Linked DNA regions of Tamandua tetradactyla. The protein of the gene in region 2 purifies or fractionates together with the protein of the main gene of each other region. This does not show direct contact. Links are inferred from orthologs where the notes say so. Each region holds a gene or a part of one and is shown on either strand. Other genes may lie near its edges.

Region 1 (16,517 bases), on a different chromosome or scaffold from region 2:
AGAGGGAGAAAAAATGGATAGGAGGGATAAATTTTGCACCTTATAGGAAATACTTTGGAAATACAATGAGTGGGAAGGATTGGACTTTGAAATCTGGAGGTAAAAATACCTGAAAATATGCTTGCAGCACATATTCTTTTGCTTCCAGAATTACTCAAATGCTTTTAATAACTCGATCCGGAGAGGATGCCAAGGGTTAAGCAACCAAGCCTGTTGTCGTGCCCTTCCCCCACGCTACGATGATGCAAAATGCTAGGCTTCTCAAAGTCCTGCATCTCAGGTTCCTGGGCGCATAAAGTTTTCCAATTAAATAAGCAATATACACATACAGTGTTTCCTTTTGTTGTTGTTTTCCTCACCAGGGTTCTGCTTAAAGTATGTTGTCTTTCTACATATGGGTAATAATTATGTCTCCAATGTTAATGTGGAAAGCCTTGTTGCTTATACAGAGTATTAAACTCACCATGGCCGGCAGGGGTGAGGCAGAAGCCTCCCTGAAACAAGTGTTATTTTAATTTTCCATTCTTTACCAAAGTTTCTCTGTGTCTGGTTATGTTATAGTCAATAGCAAGGGCATACAGAGTGTGTGTTTCCCTTGATGCACTAACTTTGCCTTTGAACTGTGTCTCCAGGGGTTTCTGCAGAAGGCAGCAAATAAGGTGTTAAAGGTTATTTCTCCTTGAATCTCCAGTAGGGGATCTTGCCTGTAATAGAACTACAGGTTTGGTCCCAAGTTATCTTGGTTCATTTTTTAGCCTTGATATCTTTCTGTGGGATCCACTACTGAGCTGTAAATGCCCGGCCACAAACATCCATCATCAATGCCCCTTCCATTTATATAGTGATGAAAAAGAATGTGAACTATTTAGGAAGAAAAGGGTTTTAGCTTCCTAAAGAAGTAGAAAAATTCCTAAGGTTCCACCCACAGAAATTCAGACTTCTTCCAAAGTTCCTGAGAACTTTTACACATTTGATTTTGGATCTAGGAACCAGTCAAGTATGAAGAATTCTGAACTTCAGTTAAGAAATCATACTCAAGTATATTTTAGCAGAAGAGGGGCCAAGACAAATATGTGTTTCAAGAGAAGTGCCTGGGAAGGTATTACTCCCAATTCTCCAAATGCCAAAATTGAACTTACACCCTAACACCTCCCCCACCCCTGACCCCAATACCTATTTCCCAAAGGCAAAACTACTGTTAATCTCTTTCTAAATCTTTTTATCCACCATTTCTGTACACACCCTCTGTTCGGAAACAAACGCATCCTCAGAAGCTGAACACCATGTTCCCAAAAGGCGTTAAATAAATAGGCTTTTTCCCTCCCCATTGGAAGTCACTTGTCATTTGTTGCTAGTGAAAAGCATTAATAAGGCAGGAGATCTGGGCAAGAAAATCAAGGAAGACCGATGACGTTTTTGCATAAAGCCCAGGCGACCGTATTAGGGGACAGACGTGAACAAATCAGTACTGCTGATGAGTCACAGTCACATTTCTCTAGGCTCTGCTCTGTTTGCTTTTAACATTTATCACCCCTCTGCGGTCCATTGGGCTCCGGAATGCTTACACATATCACCAGCATCCCCACTTCCTTTCCTTCTGCCTCATTTCACGTGTCATAGATGGTGATATGTTCCCATCCCATACAATTCTTATAGTCTTATAGGAGGATGAGAGGAAGCGAGGCAGAAGGTGACTGAAAAATCACTAAGATTAGGGCGCTAAGGACTGGGGCTTCCAGGAGGTAAGATTGGGTTTCACTGGAAGATTTAACTAGCGAAAGGCAAAAGCCTTTGGAATACGCCCTCTTGTGGCCAGTCATTCCCCGTTATTCAGAGAAGACAGTGTGCAACCCTTACAGGCTTTGGTCAGTGAGGGGGACCTCACAGGAGAAGTTGAGAAGACAGGCGTGGAACAGGAGGAGTTAACTTCACTTTGGGGTGGGTTTCGTTAGGGTGGGAGAAGATGGCCATCCAAACAAGCCTTCTTAGACCCCTCTCTGGGCAACCTAATTTTATAACTCAAGCTTTCTGTAAATAGTAATCTCCAAGAGGGGAGATTTATGTGTTGCTTTTGACAAAATCTAGATTCTGTGAGCATTTTCCATTTCTTGGTGTTTCAGTTTTCTTGCTTTCCCTTACCTTTCTTTAACATGTGCAGTCGATTGGCTAAGTTAATTATCAGAATCAGCCTGTAAATTTGGCAGTGTATGGAGGGAGACTCAACAGTTGATTGCTGGGCATTGACTGGCCAGTTACTATCATAGATAAAATAAGGTACAGCAGCCAAGAAAGCCATCAATTTTAGCTTTATTGTCGATGTATGAGTATAGTGACAGCTGACTCTTTTGCCTCTCTTCTGTAGCAAGGACATCTCTTTAAGGCCTTAAAGTAAACCCTGAGGCTCTTATCCTAAACAGACAAGACACTAACCTTGGTGAGCATTCTTTGGTGATAGAATAAAAAGACACCATTTTTATTTGTTGAAATAAACTTCAGGGTGCCTTAGAGTTAATTCCCTTCTTCTAACTCAATAACAACTCACATTAGCTGTACAAACATAGGCACATTCTACCTGAGCCCAATGAGACAAACTCAGGTAAAAAGAGTTCTAGGCATTAGTTCTTAGGCACCTCAACTCCTGTGACCATATCTTGGCTTTATCAAGCAATCAAAGAGAAAAGAGACAAGCACGAGATATGTATCCCCAAACTGAAGGCACTCGTAGCCGAAAAGCACTTCTCTGGGTATGCGTCTGTAGCATGCACACAGGTGATACTTTTATCAACTGGCTTTCATGCTGTACAAAGAATAGTTTTAAAATAAAGAAAATGTCCTTTCCTCCAAAAATCTTGACATTTTGGATGGCTGGAATATTAAGGTTCAGTTATTCCAAAGCAACAAAGACATGGATCACTGCTTTTCATTTTTATATATTGTCTGCAATCCTTCAGATGATAAATCTTTCCCTGCATAGCAAAATTGGCATCAAAATGCTCACATTGTACTCAGAGAATGGACTGTCTACTAAAGAACAGTCATTAAATCTGTGAAATAATAGGAATTCAACTTAAATCTGATGTGTAAAACCTCTGAGATGAGGAAAAATAAACCAATGTAGTCAACCTCTTCTCAGCATCCAGCAGCTCACCCAAAGTCAAGTTATAAACTCAACTGGGAGGAGTTTTCCATTACAAACCTTAAACTTTAGGCAACTTGTAAATTAAATGAATCACCTTTTCAAAAAGCAGTGCAGTTTCTTTCAAACTAAACACCTAGCAGAATTTTTTTAATTTTTATTTTTAAAAAGAATCTCCTATAACTGAGAAGTTCAGCACTGAGAGGTACCACTGAAGGAAGGCAAATGGTCAAATTCTTTCACTGCAAAAGTTCCTGAATGCCAAGAGAATGATGTGCTTTAAAAGTCCAATAAGTCAGAAAGAAGGCCATATTGCTAGCTCAGGTGTATAACTAAAAGACCGGATCCCTCGGTTGATGGCCAGGCACTGGTGGAGGACACAGATAAACTTTGTCATGTGACATTAAAGCCAATTGATTAGGCATTTCATTTGGCGCCATCATGTGTGACCAGTCGGTATATGAAAGCTCATATCCTCATGTCAGTACGTGGAGCAGCCCTTTACACGGCTGGAATCCATCCCACTCATAGGACCCAAGGTTTTCCTTTCCTACTTTACAACTGTGAAGGTTTGAGAAAAACTGGCTGGCGACTTGAAAACTCCAGCCTGACTTTTTTCCTCAATTGCCTTCAAATGATAGTCATAATCAGCACGTCCTTTGGAGTTGCACCAGGAAAGATTTATGGAAAGAAAGCTAAGACCTGCCCTAAAGAGAGAAAAAGAGGCTTCTGGTGAGAGAGCTTAAGGGCCTGAGGACTTGTGGCACCGAGGTTTCTCCTACAGGGGCAAGCCACGAGGCCAGCAGGTTCTCTGCTCCCCAAAGGATGCCCAGTCCTGCATGGTTTTCTGGAAAACAGAACATCTGAGTCAACAGGTTTTCAGGACTGGAAATTCTGAGTGTTGCCTTAATTGTTTATACTGCTGCGGCAAACTTTTAAACAAAAATGCTAGGAGTCCCTGCACATACTTAACTGGCCATATGTTCTACCACACAAAACAATGGCATTCCTTTCGAATGGCTTTGGCAAGACGTACAATTCTTTAGCGTGGCATCACAGGGAAAGTGACATGGCACTGACACATGTGTGCGCCCCGCCGTGCATGGGCTTGGGGCATGCAAAGTGATCTTTGTCATGGAACTAGAAAAACAGCCTGGCTCCAGGTCTCTGGCCCAGACTTTCTGACAGGTATTTTCTATTCAGCAACAGGTTAGCATGGTCCTGGGACAACGATGAGAATCTATTAAAGTTTTTCCTCTTAAGGATTGAGTGAGAGTTCAGCGTAGTATCTGAGAGCACTTTGTCAAGGTTGCATTCCTTGGCAGAGAGCTCTTGGTAACTTTACAGAGAACAAAACCCTCTCTCTCTCTCTCTCTCTTTTTTTTCAATCTAAAAAAAAAAGAACGAGAGAGAGCAAAAGTCAGTATTCCAAAAGTGACTGCTGGTTCAATGTGAATTGTCCTCCAAAGTAGCCCTTTACTGCTTAAACCGTGGAGCCTCTGCACTTAGGGACACAGTTTTCTAAAGGTAAAAGTGCCTGTCACTAGTAACTCTGCCCTGCTTCTCGGATCTGTGGCCCCTCGTTGGACTTTTAAAGGGGAAGGTTTGTTTTAAGATAATGACTTCATCTGTGCCATTCTACCCCGATCACCGCACTCCCACACCCCGCCCCCGAATCAAAACTTTGGATGGGGTTTCGGAAGCCTCCTCTGCTCCCCTAGCACCCGAAAATGCCCCCGCTTTCCTGCGGCTGCCTGGGTTTCTTTCCTAGGCAGGGGGGAGGAGAGCCCCTCGCTGCCTGGCTTCCAGCTCGAGATTGGCGGACAGCTTCCTCCCTGGGTGTCCGGCTGAGTTAGCAAGTGTAAGCAAGTCATCCCCAGCCAGGGAGTTCGACCTGGAAGAATTCCGTTTCTGTGAAGCCCTCTCCCCCTCCCAGCCTCCCCTCCATCTGCTACCATCACCTAAGAACGAACAACCTTTCCAAGCGGTTTATAGCTGGAGGGAAAAGAAGTTCCTCCTCGGACTGTCAGAGAAATATATTTTACTCCCCCCACCCCCCACCAGTGCCAGCACCAACCTGACTCCGCAAATGTGATGATCTCTGATGTCTGCTCCATGAGTTCATTCATTTCTGCCCTCCTGCCGATGTCATCCTCAATCTCCACATACCCGTTTTCTCCCACTTTGCCCACATGAAGCTTTTTGATCGCGTTGAGAAGCGCCGCCTTGGGCACGGGCTGGGTGACATCGGGTCTCTTCTTCAAGTGCAGCATGTTTAAAATGTGCTTCTTGACCGCCTCCACCATCTCCGGCTGAGGGTTGGGTGCATCCTTTGGGAGGGTGGCCAGGGCACAGGACGGGCAGTCGGGGGCTGCACCGTGCCCCTCGGATCCTGGGGTGGGGGAACTCCTCACTATAATCCAGCAACTCGCCAACAGAAATCCTCTCAGCCAGAGCAAGGGCATCCTGGCAGCAAAAGTTGTTGTGATTGCCTTTTTAAAAGGCCCTGCTTTTCCTCCCCCCTCACGCACAGGTTTTTTTTTTTTTTCTTTCGGTTTTTTTTTTTTTTTTCCTTTTCTTCAGCAAATTCTCTGGAACAAGAACAAAAAGTTTTCTGTGAAGTTTTGTTTGCAGGTTCCCTCTCTGAATGCAGTGAGTGCTGTAGGTTTGTGGCTGTCAGGGAGGAGAGTCCTGACTGTCTCCGAGTTAGAGAGGAGGGAGGGAGGGGGGAGGGAGGGAGGGAGAGGGAGGGAGGGAAGGGGGAGGGAGAGCAGGGTGGGGGGGCTGACAGAGACAGAGAGAGGAAGGGAGGAGAGAGAGACAGGGAGAGACAGAAAGAGAGACAGGGAGAGGGGGGAGAGAGAGAGAGAGAGAGGAGAGAGGGAGGGGGGAAAAGGAGAGAGAGGGAGAGAGAGAGAGAGAGAGAGAGAGAGAGAGAGAGAGAGAGAGAGAGAGAGAGAGAGAGAGAGAGAGAGAGAGAGGGAGAGAGAGAGAGAACGGATTGGCCCTAAGTGAGTGAGTGAATGGGAGAGGGAGGGAGTTTGTCAGTGAGTAAAGGCTGTGACTAGGGAGGGGAGGGACAGCCCATTTTCTGACAGGCTGCTTTCCTTCTGCTCCTTTGCTCCCTCATACACACCTCTCTTCAAGTAGCGCCATGCTCAGGGTTCTACTTTCCCTTCTGAATTAAATTACCTTAAATTTGCGCGACTTTGTTTTAATTTTTTTCCAATCCTCTTGATTCACTTTCTTCCTCTTTTTTCTTTTTTCTTTTTTTTTGGTGGGTTTTTTGTTGTTGTTATTGTTGGGTTTTTGGGGGGCAGGGGCGAGAAGCAGGGGCACTTCCAAACAAATGCACTGTTCTCAGTTAACAGGGATGACTTGACTGAGAAAATAAGCCCCCACCTCTCCTCTGCCCTAGCCAGCCACCATGGCCCTAAGTAGTGAAAAGCCCACCAGGTCCTTAAAGTGACGGCCCAGGCTGCCGGAGGTCCTAGAGGACCCGTTGTGAAGGTCAGGGAACAGAGGAGACAGAAGCCAAAGAGACTTTTGGCCAGTTCTGGCCTGAATGCAGGGGACCTGAGATGTTCCTTTCCCCATTCATTCATATTCAGGTATTTGGGGTTATCAACACTGGCAGGCGATCAGAAGGGAATGCGATAGAACTTTTGTGTGGGGTCATATAATACACTCTACTTTTCCCAACCGCAGAATGTGGCAGGGTATTGAAAGAGTCAAACGGCAAGCAGCACTGTGCACGCCAGTGTCAGGGAAGTTGCTCTCCAGTCCCCTTTCAGCCTCCCCTTTCTGCCCCGCACACACTCACACGTAAAAGTGCAGCCGACCACTGCTTGCTCGACTTCACAGATAAGGTGCGACATTCATTTGGCCTTTCCCACATCGTTTCATACAAAAGAGTGCACTCCTATACTTGAGTAACTAGTCCTCTGGGAAAAGAATCTCTAAAATATATTACCAAATTATTTTCTCTGTCATGTGGTAGTTTTCTCAGCCTGCCCCCTACCCTCAGTCCCCACCAGGACATTCATTGGCAGGCTCCTCTCCTGCTTCTTTTTCCCCCCCTCAAAGGAGCAGCGCAGATGAAATCAACATGGATTTTAGTGTTCATAGAAAAAGAAACATGTAACTTCTTAAACAATGCCTTTCTGAGGTTTTTTTCCCTCCATGCCCCTCACCACCACCACCCCCCTGTTTTTTTTCATTTTCTGTCTTATTGCTTTTATCATGCAGAAATACTTTAAGAGGTCCATCTGTTAAAGCTTTCCTTCCCTCTTGGTTTCTTTCCCACACATAAGCCCTCTCTGTTTCTGTAGATACAGTCAGCTTATATCTGACACCTAGTGTATTCAGAGCATTATAGTCGAGCAAAGCAGTTTTGGGGGGGAAAAAATTAATAAATATCATGACTACCAACATTACATCTGAGTGCAAAGGGAGGAGGAGAAGGAAATTGTCAAAATTACAGTCAGATAGAACAATGCTTCTCTGGATTGTATACCCTGCCCCATTTCCAAAACAACTATTTGCAAGACTTTCCCTGGTTTAAGGCATCTATCACCTTTGGGGCTTCTGCTTCAAGGAAAGTGATCTACTCCATTGCTATTCTTAAGGCTTTATCAATATTGCCTTAAAATCCTCTCCTTTTTTTTTTTTTTCGGTGGGGTATGGTGAAAAAGAATAGGGTGGCATTTGCATTATAACTGCTTAATAAAACATCTTTGTAATATAATACTCAGCATCATCTACCTATTTGGAGCCACATATAGAGAACCCAAAGCATTTTGTAGTCCAATTAAGTTTTACAAGAGAGTCTGAAATAGAACTCAAAGTTTAATGACTTGAAAGGACTCAAGAGTCTTAATAGTAGCGTTTAGATAAGTGCAAGTTATCAGTGTTTGGATTCCCTCTGAATGTGAGTCTGTGTGTGTTCCTTGAATTTACTGTTTGCGAATGGAACTCTTAAAAATAGCTTTCTGTTTGGCATATGTGCTGGTATATATGTGCTGAGTGGGTTGTATAAACACATAATCTATTTGCATGCTCTAGGACTATTAAAAGCTGAATTAACCTGCCTGAAGAATATAAAAAGGTACAAATCGCAACTCCCATGGAAGTGCCAATAAGTTGTAAATTTCTTTTTAAAATTCCCTCTGATTATGAATGTGCAAATCGCTCCTAAGGAAGAGTTAAAAAGCATTACCTTTCCGGTCCCCTCTCTTTCGCCAGCAGATTCTTGTATCATGTGGCCAGAGCTCTCTGAGTTCCTCTTTATAGTATTGGCACTGTGAAGTTTTATACTGTACTACTTATTTGTACACTCACATATCGGTACCACTCAAAAGAGGAGGGCTGGGGCTTTGTTGGGGATTGGTTAGAATCAGGATGACATCAGTGGATGACTGGTTTTTCCAGTGTGAGACATATTTCATAATTTATTATCTAATGGAAAGCCCAGTGAATCCTCTGGCTGTGACTCGACTACCTTTAAGAAAAAAAAAGGGATTTGGACAGATAGCTCATTGAGTGTCCATTTTTCAACTTCTCTTTTTACTACTCACACATACACACACGTCTCATCATACTAGGGTTCTGTTTTAGGTCTTTACATAAAGCATCTGTTACTTCATGAAGCTGCCTCTATTTTAAAAGTATTTTATTGTTTCTTACAGGGAAGAAAATTCTTAGTGCTCTTTACAATGATTCTGATTTTTTTTTAAGTAAGAGATTTCATTCAGAATGAATTAGGAAAAATATGCACACCCATAGGATGATGCCCTCCCCTCCCCTGACTTACACTATCATTTTACATCTTGAAATTGAATGCCTGCTTCATAAATCATTTAGAAATAGTCATTCTTTTGCAAGTGAACTTTGTAAGTGTCTTTGTCAGGGTTTTAGAATCACAGGCTACTAAACAGCAAAGAAAAAAAAAACTCATGGATCATTCAGCTTTACCAGAACTTCAAGTCCATGATTTCTAAATTGTTATACTTATAGCATGAGATTAATGAAAAGAAATGAATATTCCTTGAAGGATAAAGTTGGCCAGTTTTTGCTTTGCTTTTTGGGGAGAGGTGGGGGATGTTGCCAAGCCTGGGGAGTGACGCGGGAGGAAGGAATCTTCAGACAAGAATGGTGGAGAAGAATTGTTTGAAGGAGTCTAGCTGAAGCATAAGCTGGGTTCTCATGACAAGTTGGATAAAATGTGCAAAATTGGGAGCTAATGAAAGCCATATGACCAGATATGTTGTTTTGTATGCAGGATTTAACATGCATAAAATAAACTTTTCACTGTGCCCACAAGCAAAATATAGAGGCTCTGGCCTCCTGATGTGTAACTTAAGCAGGTTCTGTTAGGACACCAGAAGTTTTCTGTGTAAGAGAGGTCTCTTGGCTAAACCCACAGAAAATGTGTATGCTGAGTTGTATACGGGGGGTGGGGGGTGGAGGTGGCACAGATAGGGAGGAGAACTCCAAGAACTGGATATGGAGAAATGAAGTAGAAAATGAAATTATTAGGTTATAAGGGACAAGAGAGAATCTGAGAGGAAAAGGTAGAAATAGGATGAGTGGTGGTGAATTCCAAAACTGCCCATCATTTTAGAACTGGAGGAACTGAAACAGTTTATAGGAAAGCAACTCCTCCACCCTTTTGGATGGAGAGAAATGACCTGGGGGTCCAGGGAATAGGGTGCATTTAATTCACCCATTCCCCACCCATGACCCCTGGCATTGTGAAATCATCATGGTGTTCCCTCATGATTTGGGGGCACATAACAAACCTGGATCATACCCAATTCCACTGCTCAGGAATTCTATAACTCTGGGCCTCAGTATTCTCATCTATAAAGTGGGAAAAATAATACTAAACTTCAGGGTCAAAGACAGTGCTCAGAAAAGAAGAGTTTCTGAGAGGCTTGGTGGGCCTTTTTCAAACATTTGTGCCACTGGAATCTACAGTGCCTGCACTGTAGTGACTCTGTGTGACTCTGGGACCACACTGGCTACGGGATGCCAAAGAAGTGCCCACCTGCTCAGCCAGCCCAGGCCACCAGCTCTGATCTAATTCCCTACCTGACTCTCCAACCTCAGAGGCTGAACCAAAGTGGAAATGACTTCTACCTCAGGAAAAATTAAGGTAGGGGTGGTAGAGGAAGCCAGCAGATTAAATTACCTTCTGTGCACCATTCTGGATTGGGGATTTTTTTTTTTTTCCCTTCCCAACTCAAGGGCCCTTAGGGCATAGGCTGGTGAGCCCCGCTCTAGACAGAGATCTCCTTCTCGTTCCTCACTTTGGTTTCTCTTTCACTTCCTGCCCCCTCCCCCAGCAACGTCCCCGCACCCCAGGCCCTTCTGGTCCCAGGCTTCTGGGCCCTGCTACTGTACCTTGAGCAGCACCTGCTGGTAGCTTCCAGGGATCACGCCGGAACGCGGCCGCTGCGCAGCGCGGCTCTCGGGAAGCCTGGAGCCAGGGCCAAGCCAAGCTAAGCGGCCGCCTCTATTTTTACCCGGAGCACCAGCAAGGGCAACTTCTTTTAAGAGCAGCTCTTGATTTTTCCCCCCATTTGGCAGCTAAAGAATTCAGGGAGAGAAAGAGAGAGCGAGCGAGAGAGAGAGAGAGAGAAAAAAAAAAATCCCTGTTCAGTGAGTGCAGCTGGGAATCTCTGAACCCAGCCCTCGATGCCAGGGACTGAAACCACAGCAAATGTCAGGGACCCGGACCTCCAGTTTGGCCGGCGGGCGGGATCCACCGCGGGCAGAGGCGAGCCAGGGAGCGTTCACACACCAGCACACTGTCTCTTTGCTAATTGTGGATTTCGATCCTACCAGCTACTGTACTAGCAAAGTGGCCCGCTGCCACCGCGTCATTCTCCTAGTGGAGGCTGCTTGATTTACTGGCGATTTCACAAAGCTCGGAACTACACGCTGGAGCATTTGCATGTCTCTATTCTCTTTTGAGGAGCAGCCTTTAGAGAACCCGGTGGAGCAGCTTGCTGCGCGAATGAGCCGGGAGTGAAACTGGGGTACCTTATTTTACTGTAATTGCAAAAGGAACGACTGCCAGAGATTTATATTTAGAAGTTGTATGTTTCTACTTTTATGTAAATGGAGCAATTAGGGCCTGTCTTGCTGCTAACTCCAATGCTTGTGCATTGCTGGGGAGTTGGTGTTTTCAATCACAATTAGTGAGATGGTCAAAAAACAAAGTTCGTTTAAGGATAAGAGCTCCCTGGTGCGAATGGAAGAAAGACCAGTGTTCCTGTGCCTCCCTGTGGCTGATGGAGCCACTTAATACCTTAGGGGACCAGCTGACCCTATAGTGATGTCAACCCACGACAGGAACTGTCCTTGTGGACATTTGTCATAGGTCAAGAAGCACGGATGTTCATTTTCCTTCTTTAGCTTTAATCCATGCTACTAATTGGTCTCTCTTTCGCCCGTACTCCTGGAACAAGGAGACAGGCCTAAGAAGGGGGCCGTTTTCCATGGGTCTGTTATTTTAACTGCTGCTCACGCATCCCTGTTATTCAATCAAAAAAATAAAAGCCAGGAGACGTGAACACCGCAAGTAGGTGACTGAGAAGATGTCATCTGATTCAGCTGAAATGGCACAGGCTGGGGCTTTAGAGGCACGGACGAGGCTGCTGACGAGTCAGGGTGTTTAGTTCCTATGAAAAATCTGTTTCCAAAAAAGCATGATTTCTGGTTCATCCGGTCTGGGAAAGTGAACATAAAACGTGACTGCAGAGAGAAATCAAAAGGACGCGAGGTGTTCTCAGCAGCTGACGTGTTATTCTAGGCTCAAAGCAGGAAAACCTTCCATCGTGGGTGAGCTGGTGGCTCCCTAGAGAGGCAGCTCCAAATCAAGAAAATGTGGCCATGGCCCAGAGTGATATTTGCAGCAAGGAGTCTGCGATTAAGGGTCCCACCAAATGATTTAGATCTAGTATGGGATTGGCAAACCCTGCTTGTTTCCTGGACAGCCACAGCCTGCAAACTGCTTGGGCTACATGTTAGGTAGAAAGGATGTTGGAACAAGACAGACCAGCATTTCACATTCAAAATTGAACTGTTATTTAAGTTAAATCAGTGAAGGAATAGTTCTAAACTGATAGGCAGAAGGGAGCACTAAAATTCCTCCAAAGTTCACTGGGAAACAATGGGGTCAAAATACTCATTGCAAAACTCTATTCCTAAATTTCACATAACTCTCAGAACCCCTGGAATCCTGCAAGGTCTTGTGCTCTATACGAGTTCTGTTTCCAGTCTTTGGAAATGCCATTGTCCAAACCAGGAAGCCAGATCCTAGTGTTAAAATGATCTGGGGGGGAAATAATTCCAGAAAGTAAACTTCCGTTCTTCAGTCTAAAGCAGTGGTTCTCAACTGGTGGGGGGGGGGGGGGGGGGGCTGAAGACAGTGACATTTGGCAATCTGGGGACATTTTTGATTATCACATCTTGCAAGGGGCAGAAGGTACACTACTGTGTCCAATGGGCAGAGGCCAGGGATGCTGCTAAACATCCTATGACATGCAAGGCAGCCCCTCCCCATGACCTCCCCAAAGAATTATGCGACCCAAAATGTCAACTGAGACATTTTGATTGAGAGTTATAATTTTAAAGTTATAGCTAATTCCCTTTCCCTCTATGCTTCAAGAGGACTTGACAATCAAGAAAAAAATGTTACAACTATGCAAAATATTAATAATTCAAGCAATTCTGTGTCCTTGTATGTCTCATGCTTCCTAATTAATGGAGACCCATGGCACCCTGCAGCTACCAGGCCCAGTAAGAATCCCTCTCTGGTGACATTACCATTTTCCAGCAACAATATGACGTTCCCAGTGTGGCTTTGGTACATTTCCTGCTTGATTTTATTCTAACCCAAAGCAAGATCTTGGTGACCAAAAACAAAATGAGGTGAGCTGGCTCAGACCCAAGCTGTTAGGTGGCAGCAAATTTGTAAAAAAGAGCAAATGAATAGAAATTGAGTTGTTCATTTCAGACCTTAAGGCTCAGACAAGTCCATACAATAGAGAATTTTCTGAAGTAAGATTCACAAATTGTGATTACCATGCCTGTCTCCCAGAGCAAGAAAATATGATGTGGCTTCATATTATTTGTTTGATACCTTAGGGGAATGGCATACAATAGATATCCAAAGAGATAAAACAGAGTGCTTTGCTAAATCCTAATGCGTGTTCCAAGCAAGATTATGTTCTTCAAACTTAATTTTTAAAAGATTGAGTTATTGTGGTTTTAACGGAAGATCATGCCCTTTCAAGTTTTGCTCTCTTGTGAGGACTGGGGAAGCTATTGTGATGGGTCCCCTCATTAGGGAAGATCATATAATCATCATCATCAACGAATGTTGGTGGAACCTGCAAAAGGGAATTAGCCCAGGTCAAACTAGCTTAGATGTGAGATACTGTTCTCTGGGCCATGACGTTGACTCTTGTGTAGTTCATGTAATGCCTTGAGGATAGGGTAGGTGGTGGGTCATTTAAAGCTGAAGAGCCGTAAAGGGAGTGTCTTAGACACTTAGACGCCGTCTCATTTACTCCGCGATGTGAATCACAATCTCCTCAGGTAAATGGTCATTTTGGAACCAAGGCCTCAATCAACTTCTTAGTGACTCAGAAATGCCTGGATTCCTGCCCGAGAAGTAACCGTTTCTGACTTTAACCATCTCAAATATTTAAGGAAATAATCATTTACAGACTCAATAGCAAAAACGTACATTAGAAAGGAAACAAACACTAATACTAACTGAAACTGAATGAATACACCCTCAAAGTTCATCCTCACCAACATGTATTTCTGCATTGCTTATCATATCTCAATTCTAACCCAATCCGGAAACATCTGCTACAGAGGTCAATCTTTCTATGGCCCCAGAAGATTATTAAAAAATGCTCACACAAGAACATACAACACACTGTCATAATCGTTTTTCTCACCTGGATCCCCTGGGGTAATAAGTTCCATGCTGTTGACTGGAGGACATAGAGGTTTAGCTTATAGATTCCACTGGACTGATAAGAGAGCAGAAATCTTGGTTCTAATCCAGTTTTTCCTATCCACAATGCTACTTCCACAACTCGTTCCCAAATTGCAACTTCAGAAGGGGAAAGACACAGAAAAGCAGGGGGCAGTCCTGGATAAATTATTATTATTATTTTTAAAATCAGTGAGTTGCTGCCTCCCTCATCACTTGATAGAAAGAGTGCAAAGGTCCTGCCTCCCGGACAGAGAACCTCTGAGGCTCATCCAGTCCCACACACTGGGCTCTGTGTCCAATCACGTACGCTGGCAGCAGGCTCGTGGCAGCGGCTCAGCTTAGTTGGTCAATATTTCCAGGTGCCCGCTCTAATTTTAGGAAGGTCAAGTTTGCAAAGGTGAAATAACAAGCAGGATTTCTGTTAGTCTTTATCAGCTTGGAAAAGCAAACTAACATTAAACACAAGATCCCTTTGGAGTTTAACTGGAATCACTGATTTCTACGATCAGCCACAGATTTTGAAAGAATAACTTATTGCCACAGTCCATTTTCTTAAGATTCATTGAGTTTCTCTTACAAGATGGGAGATATTGCTGAAGGCAGGAAGTGCCATTGTATTAGCAGAGAGAAAAAAAAAAAAAAGGAAAGCCTCGGAAAACCTCTCTCCCAAAGGCCATGGGTTAATGAATGAGGGCAGAAAGCCAATAACGCAACTTAGGGCCAACGACATCATTTAACTATGAAATGAGAATACTTAAAATAGTGCCCCCTGCAGAAAAGAGCTCACCCAATAAGTTTCCCTAAATTTCAAGGAGCTTTTGTTTTATGAGATCCTGCTAGCTTCACGTTAGTCACGGGGGGGGGGGGGGGGGGGGGGGGAAATGCCCACATACACACGCACGACTAAATGTAGTCAGTTTGCTCAGCTGCTGCTGACGTTGCTGCTGCCCACCAGGAGTTAGTTACTGTAATAATCCCCCCTTTATTAATCATAGGCTGGAGGAAGCAGAAAGTGGGTGACATCATTAGGCAAAGGACTGGCTAACTCATGCTCCAATTTACTCAGCTTTATTATAACATTTCTCAAGTGTCATATGAAAGTGATTACCATTTCACACTTTCCCCCTCTGAGCAATCCTCCCTAACCTTCCATTCAAACACTGATAGGGGAACTTAACTTTTCACATGGAGGCACGGCAGGGCCAAATCTCAGTGAGGATCTTTGTCCTAGGAAAGTATATCCTCCTTGGAAGATCTGCTCCCCGGACTTGAAATGCAGGCAGTCCTAAGAACTATGCATCTAGAATGACTCTCGGTTAACCCTGACCAGGGGGCACCTGATGGGAGGGGCAGCCCTTCGGGATGAGGAGCTACACCTGGCTCCCAGGGACCACCGGTACAGGCTCTGCACCCAATTGGGGAGGTGGAGATGAATCCTGGAGTTAGACGCCTGGGTTTGAATCCAGGAGTCACCAATTTTGAGCTGGTAGATGCTGGGAAAATTACTTCACCTACTAAGTATCTCATTTCCCTCGACTGGTTGATGCTGATAATAATAGCCCTTCCCTTGTAGGGTTGTTGTGGGGAATAAATGAGTTAATACACGTTAAAGCTTTTAGAATGTACCTGGTACAAAGCCAGGTTTACTTACCTAGTATTATTTCTCTTCCTCTCCTTACAAAAGCTTTGTCAGTTCAACTGAACTTACTGTGCCCTGCTCTGTATGACCCTAGGGTGATGGACAAACCTTCTATGAGAAGAAATCAGGATGGACGGTCACAGGGAGGCCTAAATACATGCTTTGGCTTCCAAGTGACAAATCATTCTGCCTTGCTCTGGGGCCCAGGTTTCCCATCTTTTATTATTTATCAGATAAGGAGCTTCTGAAAACTAAAAAAGACAAGTGACTAAAACCAAAAGAAGACATTGATTCAAAGATTCTCAAGAACCCAGCATCATGCTACTGTTATTTCTTTAAAACACTTGAATAGACAAAATTGTCAGGCTGTTCAGTTGTTACACACACACACACACACATGTACATAATACGTATATGTATATATAAAATATTGCAGAAAGGAGTGTCTCCAAAATCAGACAGGAGTGTTTCCATGATGTATGCACCAGGAAGAAAAATGCTTTCACAACTGGCTGGGCTTTACTTCATCCTCTGAAACTAGCATCTTGGGGCCCTTGCTGTAGCAGTTTTATAGATGTCTTCACTCATCCCCTTACTTGCAGTTCCATCCTGAGGGTGTTTTAGGGAGTCACCATAAAGCTTACTTAGGCATGTGTGAGAGACAGAATGATAGACCAAAAGAGAAGACTGGGATTCTGTAATATTTAGATAATGATGAAACT
Region 2 (16,201 bases):
AGGGAAACAAATGTTAAAATAAATCTAGGCTGAAATGTTAGTGATCAGTGAAAAGGAGGGATAAGGGGTAAGGTATATATGAATTTTTTTGTTGTTGTCTTTTTATTTCTTTTTCTGAATTGATGCAAATGTTCTAAGAAATGATCATGATGATGAATATGCAACTATGTGATGATATTGTGAATTACTGATTATATATATAGAATGGAATGATCATAAGCTAAGAATCTTAGTGTTTTTTGTTGTATTTTTAAAAAAATTTAAAAATTAATAAAAAAAATAAAAGACAGAGGTTCTTGACTGATAATTCCATCATGCTTGTCAGTTTTGCATCTGTTTTTATTGGCTGGGTTTTCTCTCGCTTCTGGATCACATTTTTCTCATGTCTAGTAATTTCTTATTAGATGCTGGGCATTTGAAGATTTTTGTATTTGAGTGCCAGATTTCTAGAATTCCTTTATTATAAAATGTTGGATTTTGACCTTGTAGGATATTAAATTACCATAGATCAACATGATCATTTCAATGCTTTTTTTTTTTCAGCTTACAATGGTGGGTTTGCAGTACCCTGTTTTACAGTAGTCTAGCACTCTAGGGCTTGTTTAGTTCCACTATGTGGAGTAACTTTTCTGGGCCTCTACTGAGTGCTGAGGGTGTTCAGTGAAGACTCTCCACTCTGGCTAGTTAAAAGTAAGAAGTTTTCCAGTCCTATGTGGGTTCTGGAAACTATTTATCTTATAGCTCATCTTTCTTTCTTTGTCTAACCTCATGGAGTTTCATTCTATGTATGTGAAGCTTAGAATTTTGCATCAGATTCAAGGAGATGTCTCTCTAGAATCCAGGGTCCTCTATGCAACTTCCTCCTCTCTGGCACTCTGCCTCCTAAATTCCAATTGATGTGGCCTTTCTGACTTCCAGTATCTTTCTCTCCTCAACACTGATAGGGTGCCAGGTTCTGCTGGAGATTCCCCTCCCTGCTTTGTAGACTGGAATTTTTCTGCAGATGGGCTGCAGGGGTTATCATAGAGCTCAATTATTTTGTTTCTTTTTTATCAGGGATTGATTGTCCAATGTCCAAAAAATAGTTGCTTCCTTGGGGGAATGGTGAGAAAGGGGAAAAATTCAACTTCCCCATTTGGAGAATTCCTGATATTCTCGCAAGTAGTAGGGACAACCAAATCACTAGGCCGAGCCCTCAATCTTGGCGTTTGTTCATATGAAACTTATCCCCACAAAGGATAGGCTAAGCCCACTTAAAATTAGGCCTAAGAGTCACCCCCAGAGAACCTCTTTTGTTGCTCAGATGTGGCCTATCTCTCTCTCTCTCTCTCAGCCAACATGGCAGGAAAACTCACTGCCCTCCCCTATTCTATGTGGGACATGACTCCCAAGGGTGTAAACTTCCCTGGCAATGTGAGACAGAAACCTTAGAATGAGCTAGGACTCAGCATCAAGGTATTGGGAAAACCTTCTCGACCGAAAGGAGGAAGAGAGAAATGAGACAAAATAAACTGTCAATGGCTGAGACATTTCAAACAGAGTTGAGAGGTTATCCTTACGCATTACGTAGATATCCCCTTTTTAGTTTAAGGTGTATTAGAGAGGCTAGAGGGAAGTGCCTGAAACTGTAGAGCTGTGTTCCAGTACCCATGTTTCTTGAAGATGATTGTATAATAATATAGCTTTTGCATTGTGACTGTGTGATTATGGAAACCTTGTGTGTGTTGCTCCTCTCATCTATGGTATAGACAGATGAGTAAAATACACGGGTTAAAAATAAATAAATAATAGGGGGAACAAATGTAAATTGAGTAGATTGAAATACTAGTCATCAATGGAAGCGGTTGGTAAGTGGTATAGAAAAAAATAGGGGGCCAAAGGTTAAAATATATTGGGTAGATGGAAATACTAGAGGTCACGAGAGGGAGGGGTAAGGTATGATTGAGTTTTTTCTTTCTATTTCTTTTTCTGGAGTGATGCAAATGTTCTAAGAAATGATAATGGTGATGAATATACAACTATGTGATTATATTGTGAGTCAATGATTATATATGAATATTTGTCATATATTAAGAATGTATTTGTATGTTGTTATTTTTTGTCAATAAAAATATAAATAAATAAAAGAAAAAAAAATAGTTGCCGCCTGTACTTTGTCCAGTTTTCTTGTTCTTATGGCAGGAGGGAAGTGCTATCCCAGTTACTGCATAATAGGCTGGAAATACAAATCATTATGATGCTGTTTTTATTCCAATTACAGCAGTTTCTCCTCAGTGTAGGGTCCATATCTGAAAGGGAAGTCTCATCAGTTTTAAGAGTTCATAGTGCGGTCTGTCCCAGCTCCTTCTATTCTTATTAGAGTTTCCTTGCATTGAATTGGGGAAAACCCCTCCCAGTTTCACTTGCTGTTTTCAAGTTCTTGAATCAAGTGTTCCAATGAATATTTGTTACCTACCTGAGGATTCTATTGTTCTCAGGTCTATTATACATCATGTTGCATCCCTCTGCTTCCTCCTACACAGATGCTGGTTCGTGCAGATTTATTGTTGTTGGAAGTTTGTTGTTCACCGTATTTGCTTTGATTTTTTTTTGGGAAACTTTGTCAACTAGTTTTATTGTAAATGCCCATGGACTTTCTGTTTTTGCCATGTATTAGGTCTGTGTTTTGATGTGGGGATTCTGAGAGATTTAAAAGCTGTTCAGCCTCAAGATAGCCACCATCTTCCCAGAATCTGGCAGAAGTTTTAAGAACCAGCATGCAATTTACCATGCTGTCTTTCTCCTGTCTGTACAACAGAAGCATGTATCAAAATGTAGCCTCCACCAGCCCATGCATCACTGAGTTATTACAATGAATAGGGTTTGCTTGGTGACCCACAGTGGACACCAGGCATGAATGAGAGATTTTTTTTTTTTGGTTTTAGGCCATTGAGGTTTAGGGTTTTGTTTTTTTTGAATTAGCACAGCATAATCTAATCGGCTTTGATTTTTAGAGTATGTTTCCTTTCCACCTATGCCAATTAGTTTAGTTGACTTCAAGGTAGCCACCATAAAGTTAAGAGAGGGGCATAGAAATAAGGCATAGAAATAAAGCAGTTTGAGAACTATGTCTAGGAAATAACTTTTGGTGTTGCTAATGGTATGTACAATGGATTGGAAACAAATAGATTGATAACTTACTAAGTTTTTAGGGAATTATACTGCTAAAGAAACTGTGAAGCCCTTACTATATAGTGTAAATGGCACCCTCTCAAATTGTTTAATGTGGCACTGCTTTACTACATTACTCACTACAGCATATCTCTAACCAGAACATCTCAGAAACCATGAGAGGCCGGGGCCACTTCTGTATTTTGAATTGAGGAAATCCCCAAACAAAATTATAAAAATTGTGATATACTTGGAGAGTTTACCTTACCAAATTAATGCATTTAACTCTCCAAATAGAATGCGCTATATAGAATAAGCACTCTTTTTTTTTTTTTTTTTTTTTTTTTTTTTTTTTTTATTAACGGAATGAAAAAAAAGAAATTAACACAACATTTAGAAATCATACCATTCTACATATGCACTCAGTAATTCTTAACATCATCACATAGATGCATGATCATTGTTTCTTAGTACATTTGCATCAGTTTAGAGGAACTAGCAACACAACAGAAAAAGCTATAAAATGTTAATATAAAGAAAAGAAATAAAAGTAGTAGTAATAGTAAAAAACAACAACAACAAACAAACCAACAAGCAAACAAAAACAAAAAAAAAACCCTATAGCTCAGATGCAGCTTCATTCAGTATTTTAACATGATTACTTTACAATTAGGTATTATTGTGCTGTCCATTTTTGAGTTTTTGTATCTAGTCCTGTTGCACAATCTGTATCCCTTCAGCTTCAATTACCCATTGTCTTACCCTGTTTCTAACTCCTGCTGAACTCTGTTACCAATGACATATTTCAAGTTTATTCTCGAATGTCCGTTCACAACAGTGGGACCATACAGTATTTGTCCTTTAGTTTTTGGCTGGATTCACTCAGCATAATATTCTCTAGGTCCATCCATGTTATTACATGGTTCACAAGTTTATCTTGTCTTAAAGCTGCATAATATTCCATCGTATGTATATACCACAGTTTGTTTAGCCACTCTTCTGTTGATGGAGATTTTGGCTGTTTCCATCTCTTTGCAATTGTAAATAACGCTGCTATAAACATTGGTGTGCAAATGTCCGTTTGTGTCTTTGCCCTTAAGTCCTTTGAGTAGATACCTAGCAATGGTATTGCTGGGTCGTATGGCAATTCTATATTCAGCTTTTTGAGGAACCGCCAAACTGCCTTCCACAGTGGTTGCACCCTTTGACATTCCCACCAACAGTGAATAAGTGTGCCTCTTTCTCCGCATCCTCTCCAGCACTTGTCATTTTCTGTTTTGTTGATAATGGCCATTCTGGTGGGTGTGAGATGATATCTCATTGTGGTTTTGAGAATAAGCACTCTTATTATAATGCTATAATTTTCAGTCTTCTTCCAGCAGCTTGATACTGGAATGTCATGCTCAATTGTCTGTTTGCAATTCCTTAGTTTCTGACCTTGATTACTGAGGAGAGAGACTAGTGGAAGAGTGATTCTAACACAGAGTGCCTTTTTGGCAGAATTCTGCCATAAATCCTATAGTGGGCATTTGTAGTTTGGGGTCTTTCAGCTTCTAGTCACTCTGATATCAAATGTGGTATTTAGTATTCTTTTTATTCAAAATAATAGAAAATACAAACCAAACTTGCTTTTCAGATATCCATCAGCATTTTTCTCAACCAGCCTAATATTTGCTCAGTGCGCTCATGAACAAAATGGCCATGGTGGCAGAGAGAAGGGGTAATACTACAAGCTCAACAATATGGATTTCTACTGTCCAAGAGAATCAGGGGAAGAGGATTCTAGCAGAGGGAATGGTGGATGTGGATACCATAAGGCAGGAATAACCTTGATGTGTCTAGGGAACAGAAAGCAAACCAGGATATCTGGCTCATAATGGTGAGATAGATGTGGTAAGAGGGGCTGTGATGGTTGATTTCATGTGTTCAACTTCACTAGATTATGGCATCCACTTGTTTGGTTGAGCAAGTACTGGCCTAATTGTTACCGTGAGGGTATTTTGTAGGTAGATAACAAATCTTTACTGAGTTGATCGCATCTATGGCTGCTCTCAATAAAGGCAACTGCATTCAGTAATAAGACGAATCTCTTCATCCAATCAGTCAGGGGCCTTAAAGGGAGAACTGAGGATTTCAGCAGTCAGAAAAAAAGAATTTCTATCTCTACTTTAGCTGGTCAGCTTCTACTAGGAAATTTGCTGTCATCTTCATTGGAGTTCCCAACTTTTGGCTTCTTCTGTGGAAGTCAACATCACTTTCATTGAGTTTCCAATTTGTAGCTTGCCCTATGGAATTGGGACTTGCTAATCCCCACATCACATGAGCCAATTCCTATAATAAATCTCATAATATCTACCTAAACACACATATTTTTATCCTTCAGTTTTGTTTTTCTGAAGAACACTGAGTAACAAAGGGGCTAATTATGTAGAGTTTTGTTAGCGAGGGTAATAGGATGCCACAGGAGGCTCTTAAGCAAGGGAGTAATGTTATACGATTGACATTTTTAAAAGATCACTCCAGTTACTGTATAGAGAATGTATTGTAGCCAGGACGACCTGGGAATGGGAGATGACCAGTTAAGGTCTCTTCTGGTACACTGCTTTTGCATACTAAGTTCGAGATGTCTGTTAGACAAATAGAGATGTCAAGAAGGCAGTTAGATATACAAAATGTGGAGCTCCCAGAGAGGGTGGGGTAGAAGCAGGTATGCAGACAACGTGCATCACCCTGAGCGTTAATTATGATTCCAAACCTGATGTGGAGAAGAGAGGAACCAGCCAATCTAGGTGTTGGCACATGGGTTATAGAGGATAACTTCCCTTATGGAGGCAGTGACTTATCCTCCATGGAAAGTAAGCATTCTGGATATAGAATTGCCTTCCCTGTCATTGTGTCTCCTAGCATGGATCCCGCAGACTTAGCAAATACCTTATACACTGTCAGGGTATTCCTTGCAACACAACTTCTTGCCTGGCACACAGTAGCCTTCAGACTTGCATCAGAAGGCCTAAATAATGGGTTAACTATCTGGATTGCGGCAAAGAAGAGCCATCGTTTTCAACATAGAATTTCCAAAATTGGAAAGGATGCTTAGAGACCCAGAAATCTTTCTGGGTAATTACTCTAAAGTGTGGTCCCTGAGGTGTTCCTTGTGACTTGGTGCCTGGGAATGGAGGACCATCATTTCGACTTCAATGAGTACAATATATGTTCTATACGGTAAATTTTTATATAAGATTTTGTTTGAATAAAGTTTCTGCTATTAAAAACATGCATAGCACTAAATGAGTATAACCTCTTCATTTTCCATATGGAATTTCAGAGAAGCTGAATGCCTTAGATTTTTGGGCATCACCTCCCTCCCGGCTGCTCTTGCACTGCCCCTGCCCTGCTCCAAGCAAGGAATGTATCATGCCCACGGGAGTGGGAGGGCAAGAACTATCTATAGATCCCACAGCCTCATCCCAGAGCTGTGAGGGACTTTCCCTCCTTAGCCGGGAGTTCCATCACGACGCTCCAGTTGTGTGATAAGGTGGCTGGAACCTGAATTGGAGCACTACAGGCTCTCAAGGAGGAATATGAAGCAGGGGTAAGGGATGGGTGTAGGTAATGTGGGCAGCAGAGCCATTTTCTAGAAAAAATCTTCAACTGCGGAAGCTTGGGGGGTAGTTGAGAGCAGTTCTGGATGTGCAGCTTGAAGGAGGGGGCATATGCTGCAGACCATTTAGAGTAAGGTCGGAGTAGCAGGTCGCCAGAGGCCCAAATTATTCCATCTGCTACTTCTCTGTGCAGCGCTCTCCTCATCTTCCTTACTTGGGTTCAAATCACTATTTCCCAGGCTCCCCACCTGAATCCTAGCGTGTGTGTGAATTTAAGTTGTGGACGCTGGGGACCACTTGTCTTTTTGGAGAAGCTTTTTCTGCCCATTAATTCACCCGTCAATAAAGACACGACCCTCTCCTGGTTCATCGTGACCCCCATTTCACAGGTGGGGCGACAGAAGCGCCGAGAAGAGTACAGTCGGGATGCAGTCCACCCACTCCGGCGTCGCGGGGCGGCTTGCGATCCGCAGCATGGGCTAGAGCGCGCAGAGCGAAATCCACGGTGCAGTGGCTGAGGGGTCTTGCGGTCCGGGGCAAAGTGTTGTCCGAAGCCAAATCCCGCCACCACCCGCCGCACTCCCGACTTTCCACCACCCGAGCCCACTAACATCCCCCAGGAGGGCGTGGGCAGGGGGCGGGGCCTCCATGTTGTTGTTTCTATGGGGCCCCGCCCCCGAGGGGGAGAGCGGACCACGCGGCCGGAGGACCCGCCTCCCCTCCCCCTCCTCGCCCAGCCCGCCCGCCTCTTTGTATCCAACATCCGGGTTTCCCCGCTGGCTCGGCTCCGCGACCGCGGCTCAGGAGCCATTTTGGACTCGGTTCAGCTCCCCTCCCCCCACCCCTCCCCCCGCTCATGGCCCCTCCGGACTCGGCCCCTGCGCCCGGGGCCCGGGCCCAACCCCGCTGCGCTATGCCTGAGCCGGGCGCGCCCTGGCCCGCGCTCCGCTGCCGCCCCCCGGTCCCCGCGTCGCCCTGGAGCCCGGGCCGCAGCCTCCGCCATCCGCAGCGGCCCTGAACTCGGCCCGGTCGCCCTCCCCTTAGAGCCCGCACGCTTCCCGGGTAGGAAGGCGCAGGAAGCGCGCGGGCAACGAGACCCAAGGGAGGCGCGGGAAGGAGAGCACAGCCGCCGCCCGGCCCTGCGCGCCCCGGGAGCGCCGCGCGGCCCTGCCCGCGGGCTCCGGGCGTCCGCGGGGCGGCGCCGCGGAACATGACGGCGCCCTGGGCGGCCCTCGCCCTCCTCTGGGGATCGCTGTGCGCGGGTAAGGACGGGGAGCGCCGTGGGGGGCGCGCAGAGGACGCGCGGGTCCTGCTCTGGGCGCCGCGAGGTGTTTACCAACAAAGGGCGGGCCCGCGGCCGCCTAGCTGCGCCACCTGCACCCAGCTCGCATCTCCCGGTGTTGGGGCGGCGGCGGGGGCCACCGGGACCCGCGTTCGGTGTTATTGGAGGAAAGATCTTGTCTTCGGGGCTCCAGATCCCGGCGGCTTTAAGGGTTGGGAGGAGTGTCGCGCACCGGCTAGAGTCACGGTCCGCTATGGGGGCCGGGGCTTGTAGCCCCAGGGTCTGGGTTCAGGCTACGCGGGCACGTGGAATCAGGAAGAGTGAGGGAAAACGGGGGAGTGGGGAAGGCAGCCAAACTGGGCGGGCAGAGCTAATCGGGGGTGGCGGCGGCGGGATTGTAGGTGCAGGAGCGTCCGGGGGGAGGGCTGCGCACCCCCTCACAACTACTAGGGGTGGCGAAGCGCAGGGGGCGGCTTCGCACAGCCCCGCGGAGTTTCCCGTACCCCACCCGGTTCTGCGTCGCGTACCCCGCACGGTGGGCTGTTCGCTCTGGATCACACCTGCTCCCGCTCTCTTTGCAGCGGACTCGGGGACGCAGGGTGCAGCCGCCCCGCGGGACAGCTTTGTTTTGGGCGCCTGGGAGGAGGAGGTGAGGCGAGAAGGAAAACCAACAGGTCTTCGTTAGTTCGGGCCTCTGGGAGGCACAAGGCGGGGGTGGGAGACCCGCATCCAACTCGCCGGTGGCCGTGGGGCTAGCGTTCAATTCTCGAGATGTAGGCTGTGTGGATGTGGGTGTGTATATAGGTGAGTTCCACTGGGAAGGCGCTTTTTCGTCTTTTCCCAAGCGTTAATTTTCCTCACCCAGAGGTCACGGGGCGCTCCTACACCCGGCGCGAAAAGACTGACTTCGGGATTCATTTCGGATACTCGGGGCAGCCTTAGGAGGCGCAGAAAGCTGAGCGTTGGGTGGCTGGTGGGCGGCAGCCGGGGCGCGAGGTCCCGCGCGTCTTTGTTCCCAGCCCCCATTACACATGCAGCGCGGGTCCCCCGCCGCCCGCGGTGGCAGCAGCCCAGAGTCTGGGAAACCCGCGAGGGGCGGGGTCGGGCCTGGAGCTGCTGCAGGGGTGGATGGAGATCGGGAATCGCCATCCTATCCCCACCTCTACTCTTACCAGCCGCCTTTGCTTTGTAGAGAGGCTCAGCTGTGCACGCTGACTGCAAGTGAGTTTCTTTGTGTGGGGCTGTGACCTGCGAAGCCCAAATGTAGGGACCAAAGACAGGTACTCTTTTATCTGTTAGCTCACTCCTGTGTGGTGGAGGCAAAATGGTAGTCAGTTGAATTTCTTGTTTCTCTTTCAGTCCTCCTACCTTTTAAGTGCAGTTTAAGATGCTTTTCCCAAGATTGAGGCTTCTGAAAAGGAAGACCTTGACCAGAGGTGGGGATGTCGGGAGTAGTCGGACTTTATAGGCATGCAGCAGCCTGCCTGCCTGTCCCTAGGAATCACCTTTCCTGGTAACCCCTTCTGGGACAGAATGGGCTGGAATCTGGGGACCGCCCCCCAAATTGCCTCACCCTGGCTTCATCAATCTCATATCCCACCCTCCCTTTATTGGGCAGGGCTAGATGGTATTGGGCCCCTGGAAGGACTGTTTCTCTCAATTGTCCCCCATATCCCCTATTGGACAGTGTTCCCTGCTAGGCTAGGGTATCCTGCTGCTCTCCCTACTTGTGGGAGCCTTGCCACTTGCAGACTTAAGTCCAGGGACCTGTGTTCCTGCCTTGGGAGGATGGTGGGGATTGCTGGGTGTTTTAACACCAGCCAAATGGCCACTCCCTTGACCCGTGGAGATCTGTAGAAAGAGTTGTTTCAGGCCCAGGTGGGGGCAGAGGTGGCCCTCCTGTTCCTTTGGTTTCGGGGATGACCTTCCTTCAAGCTCCTGGCCTCTTATTTGGAATTTTACCCATCCCCTTTGGCACTTAATGCCTTGAGGAAAATCTGTCCAATAGAAATAGAATATAAACCATATATAAAATTTTCTAATAGTCACATTAATAAAAGGGTAAAGAAACTGGTGAAAGTTAACATATTTTATTTAACCAGGTATATACAAAATAATCATTTGAACATATAATCAATAAAAAAATTATTGAAACATTTTTCATTGTCTTTTTTTTGTACTATATTTGAAATCCAGTATGTATTTTACAGTTAACAAAACGTCTTAATTCAGATTTTGTAGTTCAAGTGCTCACTAGTCATATTTAACTAGTGGCTGCCATACTGGGCAGTGCAGACCTAGAAGAAAAGGCAAAATTTATGCAATGGCAGATGGTACTTGTCATCCGAACAATGTTCATTTCTGCAAGATGTACATGGTTTGTGCCTGGCCCTATGTCCTTGGGAAACAACGTATTTGGCTCTTGCATTGTGATGTGTCTCCCAAACACAAGAGCTCCTGAAGTCTGTCTATGTACTTGGGGTTCAGATCATAGCCCTGGTGAGGGGGGAGCAGTGTTCCTGGGAGCCAGTGGCTAAGGAGCCCCTCTAGGCTGTCCCATCAGGAAGTGCAGGCCCTGACTGCCCTGAACTACCTTATAGGCTGCCCACTCTGATCCATGTTTTCTTGTCCATTTGCTTAAGGGAAGAAGGTGTGTGTGAGTGAAGTGACCCTTAGGCCCAGTGTAGTGGTTGCTGCTGAGGACATGGACCACACAGCCATAGGCTGTTGGTGCCCCTCCCCAGAAAAGGGATATCCTCTGATACTTGTCTGTGGACCTGCTGGACACTACAGACGCTGTCTTGTCTGGCTGGCCATGCTGCCTGTTACGGGTGTGGGTACCCTCCCCATCCCTCAGAGGGCCAGAGTGCTGTGGCCTCTCAGGGTGGGCCTGCAGGGTCTTTCTAGGCATAGAGAATCCCCAAATAGCACCTGGATCTCTCCTGGCACTTCTCTGAAGAGACTTCTTTTTCCCTGCCCTGATCAAGATGGCAAAGTGAGAAGCTTCAGGTCTCTGTCCCATGGAAGAAGTTTGAACAACCTGCAACAACTGGCAGAAACATTTTTCTCAATGCTCCAGAAAAGAGGTAAAGGACTGTGGTGATAAAATGAGCACCAGATCAAAGCAAAAGGCCACTTAAAAGTGGTAGGTTCTTTTTGCACCCTGGCTGACCCCTGTCCCACCCTTCCAGCTTGGTGCAGAGGTGGACAGTTCTCCAAGTACGGATCCTTGGTCTCAGTTCTGGAGGGAGCAGAGTAACCCTTGTTCACAAACTGGGAGTACATATGTTTGGCCCAATCTGGTACTGGCCTGAGGGACCTGCCATCCCAGAACTTGCCCTGCATGTAGAAGGAGGCTCACACAGCTGTGAGAGCAGTCAAATTGTGCTGTCTGGGTAACGGATAGTTGGAGGTAGGACATAAAGTACATAGTGGGTGACTATGAGGAAACTTTTTCCTGGGGAAGAGGGAACATTCTTGTACACCTGGAATTCCTAGGGTCATGCATGCATGCACAAAAAGGATCTGGGAGGCCCCTAGGCTGTGACCTGGAGCTGTTCTCCAAACTCATTCTATTGATAAGTTCTGGGAGAGAGCACCTACTTGCACAGGTCAGTCTACAAAGACTGGGAAAGGTGTTTTCTTTTTTTCCTCCTTTTTTTTGGTTAGCTCTTACCATTCAAGGAAAGCTCTGTTATAACACTAGCTGGGTATAACCTTAAGGAACAGCCTCCTCAGGGTCTAAATTCCAGTGATGACACATTAAAATATCAAAATGTTCAGGTTTCAACAAAAGATTACAAAATATCCAAAGATAGAGGAAGTGGTGGCCAAGGCAAAAGAAGAGATTAAAGCATTTGAAACCATCAGTGAGGAGGATCAGACCTGGCTCATTCCAGATAGAGACTGAAAAAAATGGTCATAAATATGCTTACATTGCTAAAGGGAAATACAGACATAGAACTAAAGGAAACCAGGAAAAATAGATGAACATAAAGAGAATATCAGTAGAAAGATGGAAATCAACAGAGCTGATGACCACTGTAATAGAAATTTAAAATACCCTATAGGGGTTCAGTAGCAGATTGGAGCTGGCAGAAGAAAGAATCAGTGAACTTAAAGAAAAGACAATTGAAGTAGTTCATTCTGAGGAGCAGAAGGAAGAAAGAATGAAGTGAACAGAGCCTTCATTGTGGTGGTCTGTGGGTCACTGTCAAATGTGCCCATATGCGAACTGTGGGAATCCCAGAAGAAGAAGAAAGAGAAAAAGGGGCAGAGAGAATATGCAAAGAAATAAGGCTTAGAAGCATCCCAGTTTAATGAAAGACATGAATATCATTCTGGGTTTGTATTATTACACATCCAAGCTGCTCAACAAACTCCAAATGGGATAAAGCCACATAGACCCACATTGTGTCATGTTATCAAACTGTCAGATGCCAAAGATAAAGATAATTGTAAAAACTGTAAGAGAGAAGCAACATGTGATATACGTAGGAGCCTCAGTAAGATTGAATGCTGATTTCTCATCAGAAACCACAGAGACAAGAAGGCAGTGGTGAGACATATTTAAAGTACTGAGAGCATAAAATTGCCAGCCAAGAATTCTGTATCTTGCAAAACTGTCTTTCGGAAATGAGGGAGAGATTAAGACATTCTCAGGTAAACAAAAGCTAAGGGAGTTTGTTAATACTGGACCAGCCCTATGGGAGATAATAAAGAGAGTTCTTAGGTTGAAAGGAGAAGACAATAGACAATCCAGGCATGCTGTTTTATTGTGCTTTGCTTTATTGAGCTTATCAGATACCACATTTTTTACAAACTGAAGGTTTCGGCAACTCTATTAAACAAGTCTGTTGGTGCCATTTTTCCAATAACGTGCTTACTTTGTTTCTCTCTGTGACATTTTGATTAAGGTATTGTTTTTTAAAACATAATACCATTGCACACACTTAAAAGGCTACAGTATAGTTGAAATTGGGAAACAGAAGATTTGTGTGATTTGCTTTATTGTGGTATTTGCTTCGTTGTGGTGGTCTGGAGCCAGACCCACAGTATCTATTGAGATGTGCCTGTGGAGTGAAACTGCATGAACAGAGATCTCCAGTGAGGGTAATGAGATGAGTAAATGTAAATGCCAGTACTATTTTATTTTATTTTTGGTTTCTACTTTTCACTTCCTATAGGATCTAGAAGGCCGATGTGTAAAATGTAATGACAAATCAGTAGTTTGGGATTCATAATGTATACATACGAACTACATAAAAGTGGGGGACGGACGGGTATAGAAACATAGTTTATGTGTGCTATTGAAGTTAAAGTTGCTATCAAAGCAGACGAGATTGTTGCAGATTTAGGTTATTGCATTTAAGCCCCATGGTAACCACAAGGAAAATATTGGAGAGTATGCAGACTCATAGAGAATCAAAGTATAGTGTAGATTGCCAGGATAAGAGGCAGGGGCAATAAGGAGTTAATGAAGATGAGTGTAGGGTTTTTGTTTGCGGTGAAGAGAAAGTAATAGAAATGGATTATGGCAAGGGTACTACAACCCTGTGAATGTGATTAATCAAATCCCAGTGAATAGTATGCTTAGGAGGATTTGGAGTAGGAAGATTTATGTTGTATATATATGTTTTCACAGTTAAATAAAAGTAGAAACTAATGAGACAATGACATATGTAATACATGATACTAGATGGGATCTAAGAATGGAGGAGAAAAGATTCAAAAGGACGTTAACAGGACATAGAATGATAGAACGTAAACTAAAATCAATGTTAAATTTCTTAAACTTGATAACTGCACTTAAGGTGATTACATAAATGATTATCATTGTTCATAGGAAAATGTACATGGAAATATTTTGTGTTCAAGGAGTATTATGTGTGCAACCTGCTCACAAATGTTTAGAAAATAGATTGATAGAATGAAACGGTAAATGTGGTAGAATGTTTAAATTGGTGAATCTGGATATCTGTGGGGTGAGGATATGTTGGAGTTCTCTGTATGGGTTTTATATTATTTTTGCAGCTGTCCTGTAAGTTTGAAATTATTTGAAAATAAAAAATTTTAAAGATAGAAAGAAACTTTTTGAGGGAACTGAGCAAAGAGTCCCTGGTTCTTCTTTGTGTCATGGGCCCCTCTGAGAATTTGATATTAGCTGTATTTCCTTTCCCCACATGTGTGTGTACACTCACTGTTTTGCGCTAATATAGGGAACCGGTTGCCCCTGCCTCTTTTCAAGTCCAGCCACGTGCACATATACACTGCACTGGTCTTGAGGGGCAACTTGCTGTCCTGAGGAGGTGCTCTGAGCTTGTTCCTTCCTTGCTGCCTCTACCCTGTTATGGCCACTGGAAGTACCCTGTCCTTTACTTCTGCCTTTTGAGATCCCATGCAATATTCAGATTCTAGTCCTAGTCTCCTCGTTCTCCTCCAGGTGGTGGTGCCCTGAGGTCCTCCACATCTGGATGCCCATGCATGCAGTTCCCTGTTTGGGACCTCTGGAAAGTACAAGTTGGACCCAGTGCACATCAGTTCAGGAATTTAGATCCACTCGCAGATATTAGCCTGTCACCACAGACTGGGATCTGGGGGACCAGGTAGAGGTCTGGATACTTTTGAGGGTGACATTGGGTAGACGACCATGAGCTAGAGTCTTGGCTAGGCGGACCTCATTCTAAAACAGTTTCTCAACCTTGGCACTTCTGATATTTTGGACCAGGTGATTCTTTGTTGTGTGAGGGTGGGCGAGCTTTCCTGTGCATTGTATGTAGGATATTTAGCAGTATCCTTGACCTCTGCCTTCTAATTGTGGTAGCACCTCTCCAGTCATGGCAATTGAAGATGTCTCCAGATATTGCCATAACATCTTAGGGAAGGGGGACAAAATCATCTCAGGTTGAGAACAACTGGTTTAGAGTGTTCTCATGCTTTAAATAGTCAGACGATTGTGGGAGGCTGTGTGCCCATCCACTGCACCCCCTCAGCCCCATCACGTTCATGGTGGGTGGTTGGATTCACCCTGAAGCCTAGGAGATTCTGGTTTTGTTAAAGCTGCTCAGTGTAAGAGTTTGGTTTGAAATGAGTGGTTTGGGAGTACTGCTCACTACTGAGGAGAATCCTGGCGTCCTTGAGTTTTCCCAGAAGTGGTTCGGGTTTCAGGGAGGCAGTGGTTGTGGGTGGCTGGGCAGCCTGCCTGCCTGCACCCGCCCACCTGCCTCTGACGGCCACTCTGAGGTTTGCCCTGGTGCCTCTTTGTCCCATACATGCAGAATGTCAGTCAGCAGGTTCCTGTTGCTGGGGACTCTCTGCCTGGCACCCCCTCTTTGCTCACCTGGGCGCTGCCTGAGCTGAGTCTGTCTGTGTCTGCCAAGAGGAGTGCTAGGGGTTATAGCAGGACGTGGGCATGCCCTTCCCCCCGAGCGGGCCTGCTGGGTGGCTCTCCAAGGAGCCGCAGGCACTGTGGGCCTGGCACTCCGAGACCGTGGACACCAGGGCAGCTGGGCAGCCTCTTTCCAAAGGTATGGGTGAAAGTCTCTACCCTTTCCTCCGGGAATGGTTGCCACATTGTAATTGGAGGGCAGGGCCAGCATAGGGGGGCTCTTGGAAGTACTTAATCTTTACAGAGCCTCCTTGTTGGGGTTGGCAGGCTGGGAATCTCCTGTGGTGGCCCCCATGTTCTCTATTTCTCCCCTAGCTTATTCTGAGCTCTGCTAGGGAAGACTGTCTGTGGGAGCTTCTCTCCCTGATTTTGAACTCAGAGCTTGCTGCTCTGGAAACTGATCATAGACAGGGGCTGGGGTGGGAAGGAGTATTCTTTTAAAAAAGACCCAGTTCCCAAGTGCTCCACATCACTGGTGTGTGAAGTGCTTATTTTAAAAGTGTTCTTGCTCTTGTTGAGACTTCCTATTTCCATCTCTTTTGTGGTCTTTGCAGGGTGGTTTGTGTAACATTTGAATAAAGAAAGGACTTTGTGGCCTTAGAATTCTTTATCTTCTTCTCTTCTCATTCTATCACCAATTCTTTGTTCCAAAAATAGACACCCACCCCTTTGTTTTTGGGTTCCTTTTTGGTCTCTCATTCTCTGCCAGATCCAGCCCAGCCCGAGAGGTTCCTGTTCTTGTGGTCCTGATGGTCTGCTCCTGGGTACCCAGGTTGGAGG

Evidence for each region.
Region 1: the proteins of ACVR2B (region 2) and INHBA purify together in Homo sapiens (affinity purification with western blotting; 3 studies listed by BioGRID and IntAct, with this or other methods). This does not show direct contact. The link is inferred for Tamandua tetradactyla from reciprocal best matches to the Homo sapiens genes ACVR2B and INHBA.

The regions. Positions count from the first base shown.
Region 1 is NC_135327.1:80,349,647-80,366,163, reverse strand, and holds the start of INHBA (inhibin beta A chain), read right to left. Parts: upstream 8,436-16,517; 5' UTR 8,355-8,435; intron 5,837-8,354; exon of another isoform or gene 5,728-5,836; 5' UTR 5,602-5,727; coding exon 5,214-5,601; intron 1-5,213. UniProt on the Homo sapiens protein: Inhibins/activins are involved in regulating a number of diverse functions such as hypothalamic and pituitary hormone secretion, gonadal hormone secretion, germ cell development and maturation, erythroid differentiation, insulin secretion, nerve cell survival, embryonic axial development or bone growth, depending on their subunit composition.
Region 2 is NC_135341.1:48,879,426-48,895,626, reverse strand, and holds the start of ACVR2B (activin receptor type-2B), read left to right. Parts: upstream 1-7,949; 5' UTR 7,950-7,962; coding exon 7,963-8,014; intron 8,015-16,201. UniProt on the Homo sapiens protein: Transmembrane serine/threonine kinase activin type-2 receptor forming an activin receptor complex with activin type-1 serine/threonine kinase receptors (ACVR1, ACVR1B or ACVR1c).